5 linked regions of the Macaca fascicularis genome follow. The protein of the gene in region 1 interacts with the protein of each later gene in a biochemical or structural test. Links are inferred from orthologs where the notes say so. Each region holds a gene or a part of one and is shown on either strand. Other genes may lie near its edges.

Evidence for each region.
Region 2: of the proteins of SETD7 (region 1) and RELA, one has a biochemical effect on the other in vitro, tested with the Homo sapiens proteins (3 studies listed by BioGRID and IntAct, with this or other methods). The link is inferred for Macaca fascicularis from reciprocal best matches to the Homo sapiens genes SETD7 and RELA.
Region 3: of the proteins of SETD7 (region 1) and H3-4, one has a biochemical effect on the other in vitro, tested with the Homo sapiens proteins (2 studies listed by BioGRID). The link is inferred for Macaca fascicularis from reciprocal best matches to the Homo sapiens genes SETD7 and H3-4.
Region 4: of the proteins of SETD7 (region 1) and E2F1, one has a biochemical effect on the other in vitro, tested with the Homo sapiens proteins (3 studies listed by BioGRID). The link is inferred for Macaca fascicularis from reciprocal best matches to the Homo sapiens genes SETD7 and E2F1.
Region 5: of the proteins of SETD7 (region 1) and DNMT1, one has a biochemical effect on the other in vitro, tested with the Homo sapiens proteins (2 studies listed by BioGRID and IntAct, with this or other methods). The link is inferred for Macaca fascicularis from reciprocal best matches to the Homo sapiens genes SETD7 and DNMT1.

Annotation. Positions count from the first base shown.
Region 1 is NC_088379.1:144,703,277-144,707,293, reverse strand, and holds part of SETD7 (histone-lysine N-methyltransferase SETD7), read left to right. Parts: intron 1-3,098; coding exon 3,099-3,228; intron 3,229-4,017. UniProt on the Homo sapiens protein: Histone methyltransferase that specifically monomethylates 'Lys-4' of histone H3. H3 'Lys-4' methylation represents a specific tag for epigenetic transcriptional activation.
Region 2 is NC_088388.1:8,704,760-8,709,327, forward strand, and holds the start of RELA (transcription factor p65), read left to right. Parts: upstream 1-1,660; 5' UTR 1,661-1,746; coding exon 1,747-1,753; intron 1,754-2,226; exon of another isoform or gene 2,227-2,368; coding exon 2,369-2,395; intron 2,396-2,485; coding exon 2,486-2,637; intron 2,638-2,738; coding exon 2,739-2,887; intron 2,888-4,363; coding exon 4,364-4,455; intron 4,456-4,568. UniProt on the Homo sapiens protein: NF-kappa-B is a pleiotropic transcription factor present in almost all cell types and is the endpoint of a series of signal transduction events that are initiated by a vast array of stimuli related to many biological processes such as inflammation, immunity, differentiation, cell growth, tumorigenesis and apoptosis.
Region 3 is NC_088375.1:86,334,848-86,339,419, forward strand, and holds H3-4 (histone H3.1t), read right to left. Parts: upstream 2,909-4,572; 5' UTR 1,757-2,908; coding exon 1,346-1,756; 3' UTR 366-1,345; downstream 1-365. UniProt on the Homo sapiens protein: Core component of nucleosome. Nucleosomes wrap and compact DNA into chromatin, limiting DNA accessibility to the cellular machineries which require DNA as a template.
Region 4 is NC_088384.1:89,709,994-89,714,796, reverse strand, and holds the start of E2F1 (transcription factor E2F1), read left to right. Parts: upstream 1-1,895; 5' UTR 1,896-2,016; coding exon 2,017-2,277; intron 2,278-4,803. UniProt on the Homo sapiens protein: Transcription activator that binds DNA cooperatively with DP proteins through the E2 recognition site, 5'-TTTC[CG]CGC-3' found in the promoter region of a number of genes whose products are involved in cell cycle regulation or in DNA replication.
Region 5 is NC_088393.1:10,740,013-10,744,628, reverse strand, and holds the start of DNMT1 (DNA (cytosine-5)-methyltransferase 1), read left to right. Parts: upstream 1-1,708; 5' UTR 1,709-1,732; coding exon 1,733-2,232; intron 2,233-4,616. UniProt on the Homo sapiens protein: Methylates CpG residues. Preferentially methylates hemimethylated DNA. Associates with DNA replication sites in S phase maintaining the methylation pattern in the newly synthesized strand, that is essential for epigenetic inheritance.

The DNA.
Region 1 (4,017 bases):
CTGGGCAACACAGTGAGACCCTGTCTCTATAAAAAAATTTTTTAATTAGCCATTTGCGAGGCTGAGGCGGGTGGATCACCTGAGGTCAGAAGTTCGAGACCAGCCTGGCCAACATAGTGAAACCTCGTCTCTACTAAAAATACAAAAAAATTAGCTGGGCATGGTGGCAGGTGCCTGTAATCCCAGCTACTAGGGAGGCTGAGGCAGGACAATTGCTAGCACCTGGGAGGCGGAGGTTGCAGTGAGCCAAGATGGCACCATTGCACTCCAGCCTGGGCAAAAAGAGTGAAACTCTGTCTCAAAAAAAAAAAAAAAAAAAAATTAGCCGGTTGTGGTGATGTCTACCTAAAGTCCCAGCTACATGGAAGGCTGAGGCAGAAGGATCACTTGAGCCTACAAGTTTGAGGTTACAGTAAGCAATGGTCTCATCACTGCACTCCAGCCTAAGTAACAGAGTGAGACCCTGTCTCTGAAAAATAAAGGAAAGAGGAAGAGAAAGAGGGAAGGAGGGAGTGAGGTAAGAAAGGAAGAAAAGGAGGGAAGGAGGGAGGGAGGCAAGGAAGAAGGAAGGAAGGAGGGAGGGAGGGAGGGAAGGAAGGAAGGAAGGAAGGAAGGAAGGAAGGAGGGAAGGAAGGAAGGATTCTTCATGGAGTGGAGTTGACATTTTTGTTGTCGTCTCAACTGGGATCAGTACTATCCTCCAAGGGCTTGTAGTATGTTATATGACACTTTCAATTTTCCCTAATATCTAAATTCCATTGCTGAGGGTGAACCTTCAGTGTTTTATTCAGAAATAGGACAGGGCTGAAGGAAGGTAGAAATTAATTATATTGGAAACTTTTTCCTTAGTGTTCAGATTTATGGTAATTCTCTCAATCTAAAGTGGAATAACAAATTTTATCAAACATAAGCTTTTAAAACTCTGAAATATGTGAACTGTTTTCTATGATGAAAGCATTTTCAACAAGTTAATAAATGCTCTAGTATGAGGCTAAACTGATTATTTGGATATTAATACCTAAATCAAAAGTAGGACACTGAATTTATATGCCTAAATTTAACTTGATTGCAACAACATTTCACTAAAAAAAAAGCTCTTAGCAATACACTGAGTGGCTTTTTTTAATGAAAAGAGAAAAGTAAATTTACTTTATTTCAATGAGAGAAATGGCATCAGATATTTAGAAAATAATTGTCCAAGTGATTTCATATGACTCAAATGTCATTGAATTTATGTCATGTACAGTTCGTTTTTGAGCGAGAGGAAAGCAATTATGGCCTAGTTCCATTCTGACCATTAATTTCCTGGTCCTTTCCTCTTTTGTGTTAAAAGGAAGGGATCCATACTGATTATGATTTGTTTAAGTAGATGTGTCTTATTGTAAGATGTTCTTGGTAACCCATTATATACAGAGTCAGATGTAGCAATAAAACACTGTATTTGTTTGCAGCTATTTTGTTTATGTAATTAATAATACAAATAAAAAGCATATTTATTCTTTTTGTTGTTGTTGTTGAGATGGAGTTTCGCTCTTGTTGCCGAGGCTGGAGTGCAGTGGCACAATCTTGGCTCACTGCAACCTCTGCTTCCTGGGTTCAAGCGATTATCCTGCCTCAGCCTCCTGAGTAGCTGGGATTACAGACGACTGCCACCATGCCTGGCTGATTTTTTGTATTTTTAGTAGAGATGGGGTTTCACTGTGTTGGCCAGGCTGGTCTCAAACTCCGGACCTCAGGTAATCCACCTGCCTCAGCCTCCCAAAGTGCTGGGATTATAGGCGTGAGCCACCACAGCCGGCCGCATATTTATTCTTTATGAGAGTGTGTACTTACCATCTTTTCCAAGGGCTAATATTGCTTTATCATGTTAGAATAAATTATTTTAGGAGACTAAATATTTCATTGTGGTAGTATGGTTTGTGTTTCCTTTTATGTCTGTGAGCCATCTGGAAGCTACATTTCAATGTTTAATGTCCCTGCATTAGACACAGTGTTTAATGTTTTCATGCCTTTTCTCTCCATGGCCCAGGTTGTTACCCCAAGAAAAAGCCAGTAGAATAACTACTGCCTTCATTTTCACCCACCTCTGCAAAATCAGCTCACCAGAATGATTGGGAAGACACCAATAAGGTGATTCCTGGGTTTTGTAAAACATGTAGATAGTAATAAAAAGTGTAAACATTGACTGTAAATGTCAATATTAAACTATACCAATCTTTGACCTAGGAAGAACCAGTGACTTAAAGGTCCATGTAATAACTTCTGCTGATAATCACAATCATTGCTTAAATGACCATGTGTATACTCTGGCTCCATTTAAAATACAAGCCCTCTGACACACAGTGGTGGAAGGTATATGATAAGGTTATTACTAAACATTCAAAGCTGAAGATTTTGTAAAGTAAAGCAGTAGGTTTAAGGTTAAGCTCAAGTTTAAGGTGAGAAGGACTCCAGGTTTCTGTGTTTGTACAATGAGCTGTATAACTCTTAGGGCAGTTTTAAAGATATGACTGTGTCCTTCGTGTGAATATAACAATAACAGTGAGATTTTCAGACTGGCTAGCAGTCCTCCACATCATATTATAGAATGATATATAAAATCATATTGCATACTTAATGTTCTAGAATTAGATAATTTATTCCAATGACTGCGTATGTGGCAATTGACTATAAAACAGTGGAATCTCAACCACACTTCAGTTAAGCATGAGAGATTGGAGGTATCAATTCCAAATATGAGGACTCTCTGGAGAGTACTTGGTAAATTGTGACATGCCCTGCAGAGGATATTACTGATAATGACTCTCAGTTCCAGGTAAAAAGCAAGCTTATTTAAAATTCATATTCTGGAATGTGTCTAAGTCTGTTCTGGACCTATCAGTTCACAAAGTGTACGTAACAATCAGTTTGGTACTGCTGGTGCCGATGAGGTGAGAAACCTTTGCACGCTGACTGTCCTTTCGTGCCAGGGAGGGGACCCTTTGGCAGCTGGAGGAGAGTTGGGCAGGGGACTTGTCTTGCAGCATGTGAATGCTTAGACGTCAGATGGGAGGAGCACTGACGATGTTAAAGTTTGCCTTGTGGTTCCCTTTCTCCAGGACACCTGGATGACGACGGATTACCACACGGGTTCTGCACAGTCACCTACTCCTCCACAGACAGATTTGAGGGGAACTTTGTTCATGGAGAAAAGAACGGACGGGGGAAGTTCTTCTTCTTTGATGGCAGGTAGCACTCACAGTTTTATTTTGTTCTTTGGGGGTACTGAATTATTTTATGTTAAGGAATAATACAAATGAAAGAATTCAAGTGGAAGTTTTTCTACAATTTATACAATGGGTAAAATTAACCCCTACCTGTAGGCACTGCTTTGGTGACTGGGGACGTCACCCTGTGGTTATGGGGAAGCCAACCTAAGGCTTAGCTCTTGTCATCACTGTCTCCCAGACTGTGCTTGGCCAGAAGATACCAGATTCAGGGGCCCCCATCTTGCATAAGTAGGTTACATGGTCACCCAATTCTTTGATGGATTTCACTTCATCATTCCAGCAGCGCATCTCCCTGAAGTCACACAAGTGGGGATCGTTTTTGTCAGTGGCCAGTTTGCACAGTTCCAGTAGAGTCAGATTCTTGCTTTTTTCCAAGGGTCACACACACTCCATTGCGTTCAGCACACTCTGCCAGATGTCACAGTCTGGCATCTTAGTACCCTGAAGGAAGATTCTGCCACCTTGTTGGTTCTTCTGCTTCATCGGTTTCTCAGCTTGTTGCCTCTCCTCATGAGATTGATGAAAAAATGCTTGGCAAAGTTCTTCAAAGCCACATCATTGCAGTCCCAGTAATAAGACATAAACAGGTACACACAGGAGGGCAACTTTCTAGACTTCGGTTTTTTAAATGCCTGTCTTTGGGATAATTGATCTTTTTGTGTGATAATTTAATACTATTGTCAGAACTATGATTTTCCACAGTGTACCTCTAGTTAAAGTATTTTTCAGAGCAGGATTTCTTTTATTT
Region 2 (4,568 bases), on another chromosome or scaffold:
GCCAAGGTGGAAGGAAAGTTGAGCTCAGGAGTTCAAGGACAGCCTAGACAACAAGGTTAAACCACTTCTCTACAAAAAAATACAAAAACTTAGCCAGGCATGGTGGTGTGCTCCCATAGTCCCAGCTATGCAGGAGGCTGAAGTGGGAGGATTGCTTGATCCTAGGTGGTAGAGGCTGCAGTGAGCCAAGACTGTGCCACTACACTCCAGCCTGGGCGACAGAGCGCGAGCCTGTCTCAAAAAATAAATACATACAATACAATACAATACAATGCAGAATTCTGCACGGTGGTGGTCCCTTAAGTTTTGCAATGGGTACACGGGTGTTTATGGTATTAATTTAAAAGTTATAAATATACAAGAATTTTAAGAAGAGGATCCATGCAAGGTTTAATGATAATTGTATGTCATCCATTCGCTCAACTGAAGTCGGCCTTCCCCGCCCCCTGCCAAAAGTAAACACTTTTCTAATCAGGGCCAGCCACTGGAGAAACTGAAATGAGTGGGCGGGGTGCTAACTCTATTTTCACTTTTCTCTTCCTGTTTCTTCAGAGCCTGGGAAACAAGTCAGAATTTCCAATCTTTTCCAATTCCCACATGATTTCCTAATTCAAGACGAATTCAGAGAAAATAAGTCTTTCTCCATCTGGAGAAGACTCCGCCCCCTGGAGCATCCTCCTTCGGGGATGAGGCCTGAGGTGGGGCTGCGCCAGCCCCAGCCCCCACAAGGACGCGCCTTGGGCTTGGTCTTGGGGGAGCTACCCGCACTGTGGGGTCACATGACAGAATTAGTGGTCAGCCCTAGCTGGAGGTCCAGGGCAAACACAGGCGGGGGCAGTGGGGTTGGGGGTTGTGGCCCTGCTGATTCGAGTGTCCCCTGTGGGTTCCGGACCTTCTGAGATACAAGCGCCAGGCTTCAGAGACGAAGCTCCGGGGTTTACCCCTGGGGACCCCCTGCTCCTGCAGCCGCTGAGGGCCGGCAGTTTGGCTGCATAGTAAGCTGGCGCTTTAGCTGGAGAGGGACGAGCTCTCGGCCAGCTCGCCAGCGGGAGGGCCTCAAGTTGTCCCATCCGGGCTGCAGGCTCCGCAAAGCTCCCTGATGCACTGTCAGAGGGGGAGGTCCGGCCGCTCCCCTTCCCCTACAGCCGCATCTAGAGTGGGGTAGGTTGGACATTTTAACGTGCTTCTGAGACAGTCACCACCGAAAGGCACCTTTAGCGATGAGGAAACCGGCGTGGAGTTCAACCACCCGGCCTCTGCGGAGCAGAAGGCCCGACTGGGCCTTTCCCTGCGCGGGGCGGGCGGCCGCAGCCCCGTAGCCCGGGCTTTGCTCCAGACCCGGCCCAGAGTGACATCACCAAACTCCGCCGATCGGTGGGAGGGGGCCCTGAAATCCCCTAAAAACAAAGTGAGTAATCGGCGGACCCGCCCTCCAGGCGGGGCCGGGACCCGGGAGCTAGCCGAACCACCGGGCACACCAGCCTCTTCGTCCCCGGCGACGCGCGCACTTGGCCCCGGCCCCCGGCAGCGGCTGTGCGCGCGGCCTCTTCGTCCTCCGCGCGGCGCGCACTTGCTCCCGGCCCCTTCGCCGGGCGGCGGCGGGGCAGCGCGCAGGCGCGGCCGGATTCCGGGCAGTGACGCGACGGCGGGCGCGCGCGGCGCATTTCCGCCTCTGGCGAATGGCTCGGCTGTAGTGCACGCCGCGGGCCCAGCTGCGACCCCGGCCCCGCCCCCGGGACCCCGGCCATGGACGGTGAGGTCGCCCTCTGACCCCGCGGGGTGGCCGCGCCGGGACCGCCCCGGCTGTGGCGGGAGGCCCCGCGCCGCTTTCCGCCCCTTCCTGCGCCGACTGGCGCTGCGCAGGGAGCGGTCGGCCTGCCGGATGGTGGCGCGGGGCGGGGCAGGCGGGGAGGGGTCTGACTCAGTTTCCCCTCTGGGTGGAGGGGGGCCCTTGACTCAGCATCCTCCCTGGGTGGGGGAGCAGAGGGAGCCTTGACTCAGTTTCCCTCCACACCGTCCATGGGGGCAGCTCTGGCTTCGTTTCCCTATTAGGGGAGAACGCATCTGATTCAGTTTCCTCTCTGGATGGAGGTGGGGCGTGCCCTCCCTCAGTTTTCCTTATGAAAGTACAACAGGCCCTGATTCGGCTTCCCTCGGGAGAAGGATTCCTTACCCCGTTTTCCCTCAAGAAGCAGGTGTTTCTGGTTCCTTTCCTCCACTCCTTAGTTTCACCGCAGGTTCTAGGAAGCAGGTCCTTACTCAGTTCCCCTGGGAGGGAGCCTGGCTTCTCTTCTCTGTGGAGAGCAGATACTCCCTTGTGAGGATGGGCAGTGGGTGTGTGCTGACCCTGATCTCCCTCCCCTTTCAGAACTGTTCCCCCTCATCTTCCCGGCAGGTAAGTGGCCCCCGCAGCGGTCCGGGAGGTGTTCCCTGGGGTAGGGCAGCGGGGGCAGCTGTCTAATGGGCCTGCGGTGTCCCCTGGCAGAGCCAGCCCAGGCCTCTGGCCCTTATGTGGAGATCATTGAGCAGCCCAAGCAGCGGGGCATGCGCTTCCGCTACAAGTGCGAGGGGCGCTCCGCGGGCAGCATCCCAGGCGAGAGGAGCACAGATACCACCAAGACCCACCCCACCATCAAGGTCAGCACTGCACCAGGGTGTGCGGGGAAGGGACTGTGGAACCCCAGCCCTCTGTGTCTGGGAGTCAGGTTTGGATGTCTGGGCCTCTGTACTTTGGACAGATCAATGGCTACACAGGACCAGGGACAGTACGCATCTCCCTAGTCACCAAGGACCCTCCTCACCGGCCTCACCCCCACGAGCTTGTAGGAAAGGACTGCCGGGATGGCTTCTATGAGGCTGAGCTCTGCCCGGACCGCTGCATCCACAGGTGAGCTCCCTGCAGGCTAGGAGGCCCAGCATGAGGGAACAGGAGGCGGGCTATGAAGTAGCCGCTACAGTGTTACTCCTTTCTGGACACAGGGCAGAGTTGCTTACTTCTTGCTCTGACTCAGCTCTGCAAGTAAACTCTCTTTGTCTTGAAATGATCTATTTGTACCTCTACTCTAGCACAGATAAGAGCTCCAAGGGATATGGATGGGTCCCTAATCACTTCTGAATCCCTGACCCCTGTAGCTGGAAGGACAAGTCCCTTGGAGTCATGTCTCTTGTTTGAGAAAGAAAACCACTGAACCAACACTCTCCCCTGGAGGTGACATTGCAGTTGACAGAAACAGGCCTTAAAAAAATATACAGGCCAGGCATAGTGGCTCATGCTTATAATTCTAGCACTTCCGGAGGCCAAGGCAGGAAGATCTCTTGAGCCTGGGAGTTCAAGACTAACCAAGGCAACATAGTGAGACCCTATCTCTACAAAAAAATAAGAAATTAGCTGGGTATGGTGACTTGTGCCTATAGTCCCAGCTACTTGGGAGGCTGATGTGGGAGGATCACCTGAGCCCAGGAGGTCACCGCTATGGCAAGCTATGATTACACCACGACACTTGGGTAGCAGAGCGACACCTTGTCGTGTTTTTTTTTTTTTTTTTGAGACGGAGTCTTGCTCTGTCCCCAGGCTGGAGTGCAGTGGCGCAATCTCAGCTCCCTGCAACCTCTATCTGCCGGGTTTAGACCACTGTCCTGCCTCAGCTTCCCAAGTAGCTGGGACTACAGGTGCCCGCCACCACGCCCAGCTAATTTTTTTGCGTTTTTTTTTTTAGTAGAGAAGGGGTTTCACCATGTTAGTCAGGATGTTCTCAATCTCCTGACCTCATGATCTGCCTGTCTCAGCCTCCCAAAGTGCTGGGATTACAGGTGTGAGCCACCGCACCCGGCCCAACACCCTGTCTCTTAAAAATAAATAAATACACAGATAAATAAACAAGGTGCTGTCAGAGTAACAATTTCAGTCCTGAAAATAAAACAAAGTCATAGGATAGAAGGATAACCTGGGGTGGGGGAGTTACGGGAGCTGGTGTGATGACTTTAGATTGGAAGGTCAGGGAAGGCCTCCCTCCTTGAATGGTGAGAAGGAGGAGAGAAGTAGGAAAAGAACATTCCAAGCCGACCAAACAAGTGCAGAGGCCTTGAGGTGGGAATGAGTGTCCTGTGTTTAGAGAATGGAAAAGAAGCGCCTGTGGTTGTAAGCAGGGAGCCCACGGGGAGGCTGGCAGGGGCGGGGGCACGGAGGTGCTTGTCAGCTGAGGGAAGGGACAGGGTTCATTGCAGCACAGTAGGAAGCCACTGGAGGGGGTCAAGCATGGAGCGATGGTCTGGGGGTGGGTGGGGGAGGAAGGAGCAGACTGGGCAAGGCAGGAAGGTCCGGGCTGTGTGAGAGACAGTGGGACAGATGGCTGGGGGTGCTCAGTTTCCAGAACCTGGGAATCCAGTGTGTGAAGAAGCGGGACCTGGAGCAGGCTATCACTCAGCGCATCCAGACGAACAACAATCCCTTCCAAGGTGAGGGCTACCCTGCCTGCCGCCCCCGCACCCTCTGCCACCCTCCCTGGCCCGCCTTTCCTGCATCTCCCTCATTGGCCAGTACACGGTAAAGATGGACTCTTGGTGCCCAT
Region 3 (4,572 bases), on another chromosome or scaffold:
GGGCAGAGTGCCCTCTTTGAACTTTAGGCTGGGGTTTCCCAGTATTGATTTCACTTAGGCTGAATTAACAATGCACATGCCTGGCTGCGCTTCTCACACGCAACTAGCTAGTCATCTACCCTAACAGAAGATAGGGTGAATTAACAACATACATGACTAGCCAGCCTTTTAACTGAATGGGAGATTGGGTATGTTAACACATACAATGACGTGGACTTCTAACTGGAGATGGGCCAACATCACAGCTACATATGTGTGTGCACATGGGCACACGTGCACGTGCGCACATACACACACACACACCCCTAGCCAGCCTTCTAACCTAATGGGAGATAGCCCAAGTTAACAAGATATACAACTAGCCAGCTTTCTAAATTAACAGGAGGTAGGCTGAGTTAACACACACAAGTAGCTGGACTTTGTTTTTTTTTTTTTTTTTTTTGGTTTTGAGACTGAGTCTCGCTCTGTTGCCCATGCTGGAGTGCAGTGGCATGATCTTGGCTCACTGCAACGTCTGTCTCCTGGGTTCAAGCAGTTCTCCTGCCTCAGCCTCCCAAGTAGCTGGGATTACGGGCATGTGCCACCACACCTGGCTAATTTTTGTCTTTTTAGTAGAGATGGGGTTTCACCATGTTGGCCAGGCAGGTCTGGAACTCCTGACCTCAGGTGATCCACCCGCCTTGGCCTCCCAAAGTGCTGGGATTACAGACCTGAGCTGCCACGCTGGTGAAGTAGCTGGACTTCTAACTGAAAATAGGCCAAGATAACACATACTACTTGCTGGCCTTAACAGGCTGTCTAGGTAGGAGACTAGCTGGACTGGTAACCTCACTGGAAAGAAGCTGTGTGTACACACACACACACACACACGCAGGACTTGTAACAGTTTGAAAGAGGCTGAGCTGAGAACACACAAGACCAGCCAGCCTTCCAACCTAACTGTAGATAGGCTGAGTTGACACAACTAGCTGGGGTTGCTTACCTAACTGGAGATAGGCCAGTTACGCTACCCTCAACACCCCGTCCCCAAACAGACCAACCATGATTCTTATCTAAAGGGATAGACCAAGTTAGCACCACACACGACTAGCTGGACTTGTAACTGGAGACAGGCTGGGAGGTAACGCGCATGAGTAGCTGGCCTCCTAACTGGACAGGGTGAACACAGGATTCGCCAGCCTCCCACCCTAATCAGAATTAGGTAAGCCAGCACCGGCCAGCGGAAGGAACCCCCAAAACCCAAGAGCCTGGCTTGCTACAGCAACTCTTCCGACCAGGTGGGTGGCTCTTAAAAGAGCCTTTGGGGTGAACGTTGCGCAACCTCTCAGGTGGCGAGATGGCCCTCCTAGGCCCGCTCCCCACGGATACGGCGTGCCAGCTGGATGTCCTTGGGCATGATGGTGACCCGTTTGGCGTGGATGGCACACAGGTTGGTGTCCTCGAACAGCCCAACCAGGTAAGACTCGCACGCCTCCTGCAGCGCCATCACGGCCGAGCTCTGGAAGCGCAGGTCGGTCTTAAAGTCCTGAGCGATCTCGCGCACCAGCCGCTGGAAGGGCAGCTTGCGGATTAGCAGCTCAGTGGACTTCTGGTAGCGGCGGATCTCGCGAAGCGCCACTGTGCCAGGTCGGTAGCGGTGCGGCTTCTTCACGCCGCCAGTGGCGGGTGCGCTCTTGCGAGCCACCTTAGTGGCCAGCTGCTTGCGTGGCGCCTTGCCACCCGTCGACTTGCGCGCAGTCTGCTTGGTTCGGGCCATGAATTTGAAACTGTTGTCTCTGCCGTGTCCTCTGACCAGACCTCAGCTGATTGCCCGCTTTTATAGAGCTTGCCGCGTTTTCATTGGCTGGCCTCAGGTGGCGTGATGGCCCCCTACTCTCTGATTGGTCCACAGGGCACGCCACTCGGCCGCCTCTCCCTTATATTAGTGCTTGTTGGTCGTGGCCACCAGAGCTAGCACCAGCATTGTGAAGGGTTGATGCGGGTAGGCCACGGCGGTGGAGATCATCTCTCTCCAGCACAAGCTTCCTCGTGTCTCCTCAGCAATCCTCTTCTCCCTTCCTCATGACTTGGGTGGGAAGAGCCTTCCGAAAGCCAGCATGTGGCATTCCACTTTTTTTAAAAATTAATTTTTAAAAAATTTTTTGAGATGGAGTTTAACTCTTGTTGCCCAGGCTGGAGTGCAATGGCGCGATCTCTGCTCACTGCAACCTCTACCTCCCAGGTTCAAGCGATTCTTCTGCCTCAGCCTACCAAGTAACTGGGATTACAGGGATTACAGGTATCCACCACAAAGAGATGGGTTTTCACCATATTGGCCAGGCTGGTCTCAAACTCCTGACCTCAGGTGATCCACCTGCCTCGGCCTCCCAAAGTGCTGGGATTACAGGCATGAGCCACCAGGCCCAGCTGGCATTCCACTTTTTTTTTTTTTTTTTGAGACGGAGTCTCGCTCTGTTACCCAGGCTGGAGTGCAGTGGCGCAATCCCGGCTCACTGCAAGCTCCGCCTCCAGGGTTCAGGCAATTCTCCTGCCTCAGCCTCCCAAATAGCTGGGACTACAGGCGCCCACCACCACACCCGGCTAATTTTGTTTTGTATTTTTAGTAGAGACAGGGTTTCACCATGTTAGCCAGGATGATCTCGATCTCCTGACCTCGTGATCCACCTGCCTCAGCCTCCCAAAATGCTGGGATTACAGGCGTGAGCCACCGCGCCCAGCCGGCATTCCACTTTTACACAGTGATACAGCTCTGGGATCCAACCAGAGTTAAAGGAATCTTCCACTTTTTATGACCTGCAAAGAACTCCCTTTGCTGTATGGCTCAGATGAGCCTTAGGATGCTGAAGAAGGTAAAGATATGCCTTTCTGGCATATTAACTCTTTTGAGATAAAGGCACTTAAAAAAAAAAAAAAATAGAGGCAGGTGTAGGAAGATCATTCTGAGTTTCTTGTTGTTTCTTAAAGGCAAGAAATAGAATTCCCCTATGAAAGATGTTCTTATAGTAAAAGGAAGGGAACGTTCTTATCATCAAGGACCAGAAGGTGGAAGCTTCCAAATCTCCTCCAACTCTGAAGCTGAAATTTGATCCCTAAAGTTGGAGCCGGGGCTCAGTGGGAGGTGTGTGGGTCCTGGAGGTGTCACCCTCTGAATAGAGTCCTGCCCTCCTTTAGGGTGAGTTCTCACTCTGTTGGTTCCCTGAAGAGCTGGTTGTTGAAAAGAGCCTGGCACTCCCCTCCCCTCTCTTTCTGGCTTCCTCTCTTGTGCAGTCCTGTGACCTCTGCACACACATGGGTTCCCCTTCACCTTCCACCATAAGCAGAAGCAGCCAGAGGCCCTCACCAGAAGCAGAGGTGGGCCCTATACTTGCTTCCTTCCATTCTCCCTCCCTCCCTTCCTTTCTCTCTCCCTCCCTCCCTTCTTCGCTCCCTTTCTTCCTTCCTTCCTTTCCTTTCTTTTTATCTTCTTCCCTCCCCTCCCCTCCTCTCCTTCTTTTTTCAGTCTTGCTCTGTTGCCCAGGCCCCTCCTACCTCAGCCTCCCAAGTAGCTGGGACCACATCCAGCTAATTTTTAAATTTTTTGGAGAGATGGGCTGTCATTATGTTGACCAAGCTGGTCTTGAATTCCTGAGTTCAACTGATCCCCCGACTTTGGCCTCCCAAAGTGCTAGGATTACAGGCTTGAGCCACCATGCTGGGCCACCGTGCTTTTTTTGTTTTTTTGACCTGAGTCTCACCCTGTTGCCCAGGCTGGAGTGCAGTGGTGTGATCTCAGCCCACTGCAACGTCCGCCTCCCGGGAAGTTCAAGCAACTCTCCTGCCTCAGCCTCCCGAGTAGCTGGGATTACAGGTGTGAGCCACTGCACCCAGCCACCGTGCTTCTTGTACAGCCTGGGAAACCATAAGCCAATACCTTTTTTTTTTTTTTCCAATAAATCATCCAGTCTCAGGTATTCCTTTAACAACACAAAACAGACTAAGACAGAAGCCAAGAGAAATCTATACAAACAAACTTTATTAAACTAACCCTTATCTTCCTAGTTGTTGCCACAGTTACTACTCTTTGTTCAACCTAGTGTGTAAGCATTTTGACCTAGTCATTTCTTCACCCCATTGACTATCCTCACCCAAGCCCCGTGGCCTTATCAAATCTCACAACTTACTAGTGTTTGTCCACCTCTGTATATAAGTGACCCTAACTGCATCTTTGCATCTTCATTTCCTTATGAGGGCTCCTGTGTCACATTAAATTTGTATTAAATAACTGTATGTTTTTCTCCTGCTCATCTCTCTAATGTCAGTCTAATTCTTGGGCCCAGCCTGGACCCTAAGATAAGGGAGGTAGAATTCTGCCTCCCCTACAGCGCCCCTTGTTGATGCATGACAGGCCCACTGTCTTGGTCTGTTTTGCATTGCTGTAAAGGAATACCAGAGGCTGGGTTATTTATCAAAACATTTTTTAGCTTATGGTTCTGCAGGCTCTATAAGAAGCAAGGCTCCAGCATCTGCTTCTGATGCGGCCCTCAGGAATCCTCCACTCATGATGGAAGATGAAGGGGAGCCCCTGTGTGCAGA
Region 4 (4,803 bases), on another chromosome or scaffold:
CTCGGTCTATAACAGGTGCTCAATAAGTGTTTGTTGAATGAGTTGGGTTCGAGAGGGCTTTACACAAATGAATGTTAGTTTTACTGGGCCCCTGTGGGAAGGTGCAGGGAAAGGACATTCTTTCCATCTGTAATGGGAATGTGCCGGTTTCTCCTGCCCTCTGCCAGTGCCCAGGTTGGTTGTTTAGAATGGGACCTAGCCCTCAGCTTCTTTATGGAGTGGGGGCGGGAGGATCTCTTGAGCCCAGGGGTTTGAGACTAGCCTGCGCAGCATAGTGAGACCTCCTCTATATAAAATAAGTAGGAAAAAAAATTAAGATACTGGCTTTTCTAATTCCCTAAGTGTCGGGGAAAAAAAAGAAAGAAAGAAAGAAATAAAAGAAAGAAAGAGAAAAACATCACCTGGAATGGCGACACGACATTGTTAAAATGCAGATTCCTGGGCACCTAGAGATTTCAAATTGGCAAGGCCAGGGTGGGCCCAAAATTAGCAAGTGACCACGTGGTTCTGAAGCCAGTGGCCTAAGGACCACCCTTGCAGAACCATAGTCTCCTTGTCACAGTCTAAGCAGCCTCTGGCTTAGCGTCTGTTTCTTTCATAACCTTTCTCAGCGCCTGCTCTCGGTCAGACCAGTGATGGGAGGAGTCGCTACTGAGCTCCTAGATTGGTAGGGGAGGCAGATGGAGAAAAGGAGTGTGTGGTCAGCATTGGAACAGAGGCAGCAGTGGGCAATAGAGGAAGCGAGTAAATCCTTGGGAGGGCTCCCCAGAAGTGATGTGTTTTGTTTTTGCGACAGGATCTCGCTCTGTCACCCAAGCTGGAGTGCAGTAGCATGATCATAGCTCACTGCAGACTCGACTTCTCGGGCTCAAGCAATCCTCCCAGCTCAGCCTCCCAAGTAGCTGGGACTACAGGCACGCGCCACCATGCCTGGCTAATTTTTGTATTTTTTGTAGAGACGGGTTTTCACCATGTTGCTCAGGCTGGTCTCAAACTCCTGGACTCAAGCGATCCACCCCGCCCTCTGATTACAGGGATTCCAGGCGTGAACCACCGCGCCCAGACGACGCTTCATGTTATTGTAAACGTTTGTTACCTTTCTGTTCCCGTCTACTAGACTGTGAGCTCCTCAGGGCCACGAGTTAAGGATGGGGCAGATTTAAGGATGAGGCACAGAGCAGGCTCTTCAAACGTTTGTTGAATGAGTGAGGGAATGAATGAGTTCAGGCCGACGCTTTACGTTGGCTGTTGGAGATTTTGGCTAAAATGGGACTTGCAGGAAAGCTTGACGTCCCCCCGCCATTTCTAGCCACCGCTCTTCAGCTTGGGCTCTGGGTGAGCGGGATAGGGCCGGGTGCAGGATTAGGATAATGTCATGGGTGAGGCAAGTTGAGGATGGAAGAGGTGGCTGATGGCTGGGCTGTGGAACTGATGATCCCGAAAAAAAAAGGGGGCAGTCTCTGGAAATCTAAGCTGAGGCTGTGGAAGGCTACAGGTTGAGGGTCACGTGCAGAACAGAGGCTCTGTTCTGAACCTGCACTATAGAAAGGGCAGTGGGATGCGGGAGCATCGGGGCGGGGCAGGGCGGGGCGGGGCAGGGCGGGGCCCGTGTTCCCGTGTCCCCACGCCTCCAACAGGGGACGCCCGGGCTGGGGGCGGGGAGTCAGACCGCGCCTGGCACCATCCGGACAAAGCCTGCGCGCGCCCCGCCCCGTCATTGGCCGTACCGCCCCGCGCCGCCGCCCCATCCCGCCCCTCGCCGCCGGGTCCGGCGCGCTAAAGCCAATAGGAGCCGCCGCCGTCGTTCTCGTCACGGCCCGGGCAGCCAATTGTGGCGGCGCTCGGCGGCTCGTGGCTCTTTCGCGGCAAAAAGGATTTGGCGCGTAAAAGTGGCCGGGACTTTGCAGGCAGCGGCGGCCGGGGGCGGAGCGGGATCGAGCCCTCGCCGGGGCCTGCCGCCATGGGCCCGCGCCGCCGCCGCCGCCTGTCACCTGGGCCGCGCGGGCCGTGAGCGTCATGGCCTTGGCCGGGGCCCCTGCGGGCGGCCCATGCGCGCCGGCGCTGGAGGCCCTGCTCGGGGCCGGCGCGCTGCGGCTGCTCGACTCCTCGCAGATCGTCATCATCTCTGCCGCGCAGGACGCCAGCGCCCCGCCGGCTCCCACCGGCCCCGCGGCGCCAGCCGCCGGCCCCTGCGACCCTGACCTGCTGCTCTTCGCCACACCGCAGGCGCCCCGGCCCACACCCAGTGCGCCGCGCCCCGCGCTCGGCCGCCCGCCGGTACGGACCCCAGGGACGACGCGCCGACAGCGCCTCCTGTGCCCCCCGCGCAGACCCGGGAGGGCGCCGTGTTTGGCCTGGAGGCGGCAGGGGGCGGGGGAGGGGTTGACTGAGGCGCCCAGGCTGGGCGGTGCAGAGCCGGGGTTGGGCCTGCGGGCCCCGCCCTGGGGTGCGGGGTGACCTCGGGCCGGTCCCTGTTTGCTCCTCTGTGCTCTGGGCCTCAGCTTCCTCACTGGAGGCTCCCCAGCGTCAGACTCAGTGATAATAATAACCCACGTGTATTCAACTGGCGTTTACTGCATGCCAGGCCTTCGGCCGACTTCAAGTCAGCTAAAACTCACAACCCCGCTGTGAGCTGTGTTGTCACTGTGCCCATCTGACGGAGGAAGAACTGAGGCCCAGAGAGGGGAAGTGACTTGCCCCTGGTCATACGGCTGCAGGTGGTGGGGCTGGGATTTGAACTGAGGCCTGCTGGCTTCAGCTCAGAATTTGCATCTCGGTAGTGAGCACAGCTGCTAGGGGAAGTGAAGGCGGGGCGGAGGAAGGTCCTGGGGCCTAACCGTTGGTGAGCCATTGAGGAGACCCTCCTTCTGCCTCGATGCTGACTGCCAGGTGCAGGCCTGGCTGGCCAGGCCTCTGGGGACAGCCCTCCTGGCTGGGAGGCCTTCTCTGCAGGGGCGGGGCAGCTGGACCAGCTGCAGGTCCCCTCCCTCTGCCTGTCCTTCCATCTGCCACCCTCCACCCTCCCAGGCCCTGGTTGCCATGGAACCTCATTAATCAGGCAGGCCGACCCCTGAGTCTCTGTAGAAGGACTAGGTGGGCTGGGCCTCTGGGAGCTGGAGAGGCCCCCAGTGCCAGGAGAGAAAATGTCCCAGGGAGATCCTTTAATAAAGTCCTCCCTGATCGCTGAGCTCAAGACCAGTTCAGACTGGGGGGCCCAGAAGAGGCGGCTGAATTACAGTGGGAGAAGGGATTGGAGGTGTAGAGCTGGGACCTGTGGGGCGCAGGGCAGGGTGTGGAGACCAGTTTGACTGGCGCAGCCTATGGGTGAAGGTGGGGCTCTGGTGTGCAGGCGGGGCCTGGCCAGGCAGGATGGGGTCTCAGCAGGGAGCTTGAAGCAAGTGGGAGGGGTGAGGCAGGACTCAGGACAAGGAGGTAGAAGCTGCCTAACTGCTGATGGGGGTGTGGGTGGCAGCTGGTCCCTGAGGCATCCTGAGGAGGCTCCCCCAACCCCCTTGGCCCCATGCCCAATGCTGCCTTCCGGAATCACCACAATGCTAATAATAATAACAATAGCAGCCACCATTGTTTTGAGGATGTCTTGTGTGCCAGGCTCTGTGCCAAGCACTTTACCTAATTAACTCATTTAACCCTATCAGCAGCAGTCCCTTTTTACAGATTGGGAAGCTGAGGCCTAGAGATGTTAGAATCTTCCCATGTCATTCTGCTCTTGAGTGGGGAGACCAGTCTGCATTTTCTGTGAGGTTGACCTCTGGGACGCCTTGCTTCCTAGAGATGCTGATAAAGGTTGGAGAAAGGGCAGGAAGGGCTTTTAGGGGCCCTTCCTCTTAATGAGTGGGTGGGAGGGGTTTGTACCAGGGGTGGACCAGGTGGCCTGTCTCCTGTACTCCAGGGACCTGTCCCTGTGGGTACCGCTTGGGACCTGGGCAAGCATCTTCCATTCAGTTGTGTGACAAGCATATAGCAGGCTCAGGTCTGCAGAAACCTAACAGAACCCGAGGGTCTTGTCCTCAAGTAACTGAACAGGATTATGGGTTCTAGGATCAAAGGGAGGGACAGGGGCAAAGAAAAATGCCCTCCGCGCCACCTGTCAGGGGCAGGCTCATTGGCTTGGGCACTGCATTCATTCAACGGTTGTTGAATTAGTGAATGCCCAGGAGGCACTAGGCACAGAGACAAGGAGCCCCGGCTCCCAGAATACGTAAGGGCCAGGAGGCTAGCACCATTCTGGAGCTGAAGTCCAGAAAGTCCACAGGTTCGGCTTTTGGCCTCTCTGCACTGGCATTTGTCTGGGGCAGTCCTTGAAATAAGCTACAGGCTTAGCTTCTATACCAGCAGGCATTCGTTGAACACCTGTATATAACGCTCTGTGCGATTTGGCCATTCCTCTTGGCCCTGCCTGTCCACTTCCACAAACTCAAGTATTATAACTATAATACGTGTTTACTATGGAAAACTTAACTTTTTTTTTTTTTTTTTTCCGGAGACAGGGTCTCATTCTGTTACCTAGGCTGGAGTGAAGTGGCGTGATTGTGGCTCACTGCAACCTCCGCCTCCCAGGTTCAAGCTATTCTGTGCCTCAGCCTCCCAAGTAGCTGGGATTACAGGCGTGTACCACCACGCCCAGCTAATTTTTGTATTTTTAGTAGAGATAGGGTCTTGCCATGTTGCCCAGGCTGGTCTTGAATTCCTGAGTTCAAGCAATCTGACTGTCTCAGCCTCTCAAAGTGCTGGGATTATAGGTGTGAGTCACCATGCCCAGCTGAAAACTTAACTCTTTTTGTT
Region 5 (4,616 bases), on another chromosome or scaffold:
GTTGCGGTGGCTTAGGCCTATAATCCCAGCACTTTGGGAGGCTGAGGCAAGTGGATTGCTTGAGGTAAGGAGTTCCAGACTACCCTGGCCAACATGGTGAAACCCTGTCTCTCCCACTAAAAATACAGAAATTGGCCAGGCGTGGTGGAGTACGCCCGTAATCCCAGCCTACTAGGGAGGCTGAGGCATGAGAATCGCTTGAACCTGGCAGGCAGAGGTTGCAGTGAGCCAAGATCTCACCACTGCACTCCAGCCGGCGTGACAGAGTGAGACAAGGTCTTACCCCGTCGCCCAGGCAGGAGTCCAGCGGCCCAATCATAGCTCACTGCAGCCTATACTGCCAGGGCTCAAGCCATCCTCCCACCTCAGCCTCCTGAGTAGGTAGGATTACAGGTGTATGTCACCATGCCCAGCGAATCTTTGTATTTTTTGTAGAGATGGGGTATCCCTATGTTGCTCAGGCTGGTCTTGCACTCCTAACCTCAAGCGATCCTCCCACCTGGGCCTCTCAAAGCACTGGGATTACAGGCATGAGCCACTGCGCCTGGCATAGTGCTTCTTAATTTATTTTTACTTTTTATTTTTATTTTTTTGAGACACGGTCTTGCTCTGTCTCCCAGGCTGGAATGCAGTGGCGCAATCATGGCTCACTATAACCTCTGCCTCACTGGTTCAAGCGATCTTCCTGCCTCAACCTCTAGAGTAGTTATACTACAGGCACACGCCACTACGCCTAGCTAATTTTTGTTTTCCTTTTTTTCTTTTAAGAGATGTGGTTTCTCTTAAACCAGGAGGCGATCCTCCTGCCCTGGCCTTCCAAAGTACTGGGATGACAGGCATAAGCCACGTGGTGCTTAAAAAGGGGAACAAAAAACCCCACACACACTGGGTATAGAAGTGGCACGGGTCTCTATACACTGTGAGATTCTTGGTACTAGCTACAAATTCTGTGCATACTCAAGATTTTCTAGAGTAGGTGCAATTACCCCGTTTTACAGACGAGGACACAGAGGCTGAGTCCTAGTGACCCATCCAAGGTCGTACAGCCAGCAAATAGATGGAGGTTGAATTGGAACTGAGGACTTTACTCAAGGGCTCTCACAAGCCCTTGGGGACTTCTTGCTGCTTTATCCCCATCACACCTGAAAGAATGAATGAATGAATGCCTCGGGCACGGTGCCCACCTCCCAGCAAACCGTGGAGCTTGGACGAGCCCACTGCTCCGCGCGGGGGTGCGTGACCGCCTCGCGCATGCGTGGTCCCTGGGCATGGCCTGCTCCGTTCCATCCTTCTGCACAGGGTATCGCCTCTTTCCTTTTGGTACATCCGCTCCCCCCTCCCCGCGCCCGGACTGGGGTGGTAGACGCCGCCTCCGCTCATCGCCCCTCCCCATCGGTTTCCGCGCGAAAAGCCGGGGCGCCTGCGCTGCCGCCGTCGCGTCTGCTGCAGCCTCCGAGATGCCGGCGCGTACCGCCCCAGCCCGGGTGCCCACACTGGCCGTCCCGGCCATCTCACTGCCCGACGATGTCCGCAGGCGGTAGGTACCGTGGGGGGAACGTGGACTCGGGGGGCCAGGCAGGGCGCTGGGTGGGGGGTCGCTTCCCCTCGGGGTGGCCAGTGGCCGCTGCTGACAGACGGGCGCGCATGCGTGGGGTGGTGCGGCGCGCAGCGGCAGTTGGCGCGGGCAGGGTGGCACTTCCGGTCGCGCGTGCCCGGGCTGTTTGGCGCCAAAATGGGCTGTGGATTCCCCCGTAGCTCCCTGGTGGCTAGAAACTGGGCGGGGTGGGGGTTCTCTTTTGATCCCCAAATACAGCAAGCTTTGGGTTCGTCTCCGGGGTCCCCTTCTCCAAGCAGCGGTGGGCCGGGCTCCTGCCTCCAGCTTGGTAGCACAGGAAGTGGGCAGCCCGCGGCCAACGGACACCCCTCGGGCACCGGCACTTCGGCCTCCACTTCCGGTGTCCGGCCCGGTCCCCGGTGGTGCTTCTCTGGTGGGGGGTCCCTCAGTGCCTTTCCCCCAAAGCTGTGCATCCCGATGGCGGCCTCCAGAGACGGACGTCACCGGTCGGGGCCCGGGCTGGGCTGGCTCATGTTTGAGAGCCCAGCCTTCCGTAGGGGGAACTCATTCTGTCACTTGGGACTGTGTGTTCCTTGCTCCTTGGGAAAGTCTGTGTTTTGGCAGGAACTTGAACCGTGCAATGCCGCGCAGGGCCCGGGAAGCGTGAAGGCTCCATGGTTGGTCTTTTCCTGTAAATCTGTGCCTGTGAGCCGTGGGCATCAGGGAAGTCTTGCTATTGAGAACTGGCTACACTTTCGTGTGTGTTTGCGTGTGTTCGTGGGTGTGTTCTTTAGTGTGTGTGTCTAATGTTGGAGGCCCTGGCTTTAGCAATTCATGCCTCTGTCCGACTTCCGTGCACAGGATCAGTGGGAGCAGTGGTCCCAGCCCCTTGTCCATGAACGCCATCTATTCATTCCTAACAACTTGTTCAAGGGAGGTGTGCATGAGGCATAGGAACCCTCACCAGGCCTGGACACTTCCAGCTGAATCTGTGAAAGCACTCTGCCATTTTTCTATTTCCTTGGGCTTGTTAACTGGCCTGGTTGGGCCTTTGGGGAGGGATGGATATTTGGTTCGACCCCCTACTTTTTTTTTGAAGGCTGGGTGCTGTGGCTTACGCCTGTAATCCCAGCAATTTGGGAGGCAGTGGCGGATGAATCTCTTGAACCAGGGGTTTGAGACCAGCCTGGGCAACATGGCAAAACCCCATCTCTACTAAAAATACAAAAATTAGCCAGGAGTAGTGCCATGTACCTGGAGTCCCAGCTACTCAAGAGACTAAGGTGGGAGTATCACTTGAGCCCCAGAGATTGAGGCTGTATATAGTGAGCCGAGATCGTGGTACTGCACTCCAGCCTGGGTGACAGAGTGAGACCCTGTCTCAAAACAAACAAACAAACAAAAACAACAACAACAACAATTTTATTTTTAGAGATGAGTCTCACTCTGTTGTCCAGGCTGGAGTGCCCTGGCACAATTATAACACACTGTAGCCTTGAACTGCTGGGCTCAAGGGATCCTCAGCCTCCTGAGTAGCTGGGACCATAGGCGACCACCACCATGCCCAACTGACTTTTAGTTTTTTCTGTATACATGAGGTTTCACCATATTGCCCAGGTTGGTCTTAAACCCCTGCCCTTAAGCAGTCCTCCTGCCTCTGTGTCCCAAAGGTTAGGGTTACAGGTATGAGCCACCATGCCTTAACTACAACTTTTTTATTTTGAGATGGAGTCTTGCTCTGTCACCCAGGCTGGAATGCAGTGGCGTGATCTCAGCTCATTGCAACCTCCACTTCCGGGGTTCAAGTGATTCTCCTGCCTCAGCCTCCTGAGTAGCTGGGATTACAGGTGCCCACCACCATGCCTGGCTAATTTTTGTGTTTTCAGTAGAGTTGGGGTTTCTCCATGTTGGCCAGGCTGGTCTCGAACTCCTGACCTCAAGTGATCCACCCGCCTCAGCCTCCCAAAGTGCTGGGATTATAGTCAAACCACTTCTTAACCAGTTAGTGGGTATATACCTTCTTGAATCATCTGTACCAGTATCCTCCCAAGATAAAACTTGATTTAAAATGGAATGGAAGTGAAGTTACAAAAGTACCTGGCTTCATGATGTTAGACCCAATTCAGAGAAGTTTGGGCCCGGCCTTCCTTTTTTATTCCTTTTTTTAATTTTGTAGAGACGGAGTCTTGCCATGTTGCTCAGGCTGGTCTTCAATTCCTGGCCTCAAGCGATCCTCCTGCCTCAGCTTCCCAAAGTGTTGGGATTACAGGTGTGAGCCACTGTACCTGGCCTGCCCAGCCTTCTTGAAAACATGGCCTCCACTGGCTCGATGATCTTAAACAAGCATATGCCACCTCTATATCCATAGTCTAGGAATAATGACATGTGTTTTCAGGTGGTATTGGGTTAAATGAGAATATGCATGGCACATAAAGGTTCATATGCTAGTGGCTAACTTAGCTTGTTTTTTAAGTTTTTTCTTTTAAGACACGGGATCTCACTGTGTCACCCAGGCTGGAATGCAGTGGCATAGTCATGGCTTACTGCAGCCTCAAACCCATGAGCTCAAGCAGTCCTCTTGCCTTAGCCTCCTGAGTAGCTGGCACATGCCACCATGCCCAGCTAATCCTTAAAAAAAATTTTTAGAAGGCCGGGCTCAGTGGCTCACGCCTGTAATCCCCGCACTTTGGGAGGTCAAGATGGGTGGATCACCTGAGGTCAGGAGTTTGAGACTAGCCTGGCCAACGTGGTGAATCCCCATCTCTACTAAAAAAAAAAATTAGCCAGGTATGGTGGTGGGCACCTGTAAACCCAGCTACTCAGGAGGCTGAGGCAGGATAATCGCTTGAACCCAGGAGGCTTGAACGGAGGAGGTGGAGGTTGCAGCGAGCCGAGATTGCGCCATTGCACTCCAGCCTGGGCAACAGGAGCAAAACTCTGTCTCAAAAAAAAAAAAAAATTTTTTTTTTTAGAGATGAGGGTCTTGCTTTGTTGCCCAGGCTGGTCTTGAACTCCTGGGCTCAAGCAGTCCTCTGCTTTGGCCTCCCAAAGGGCTGATATT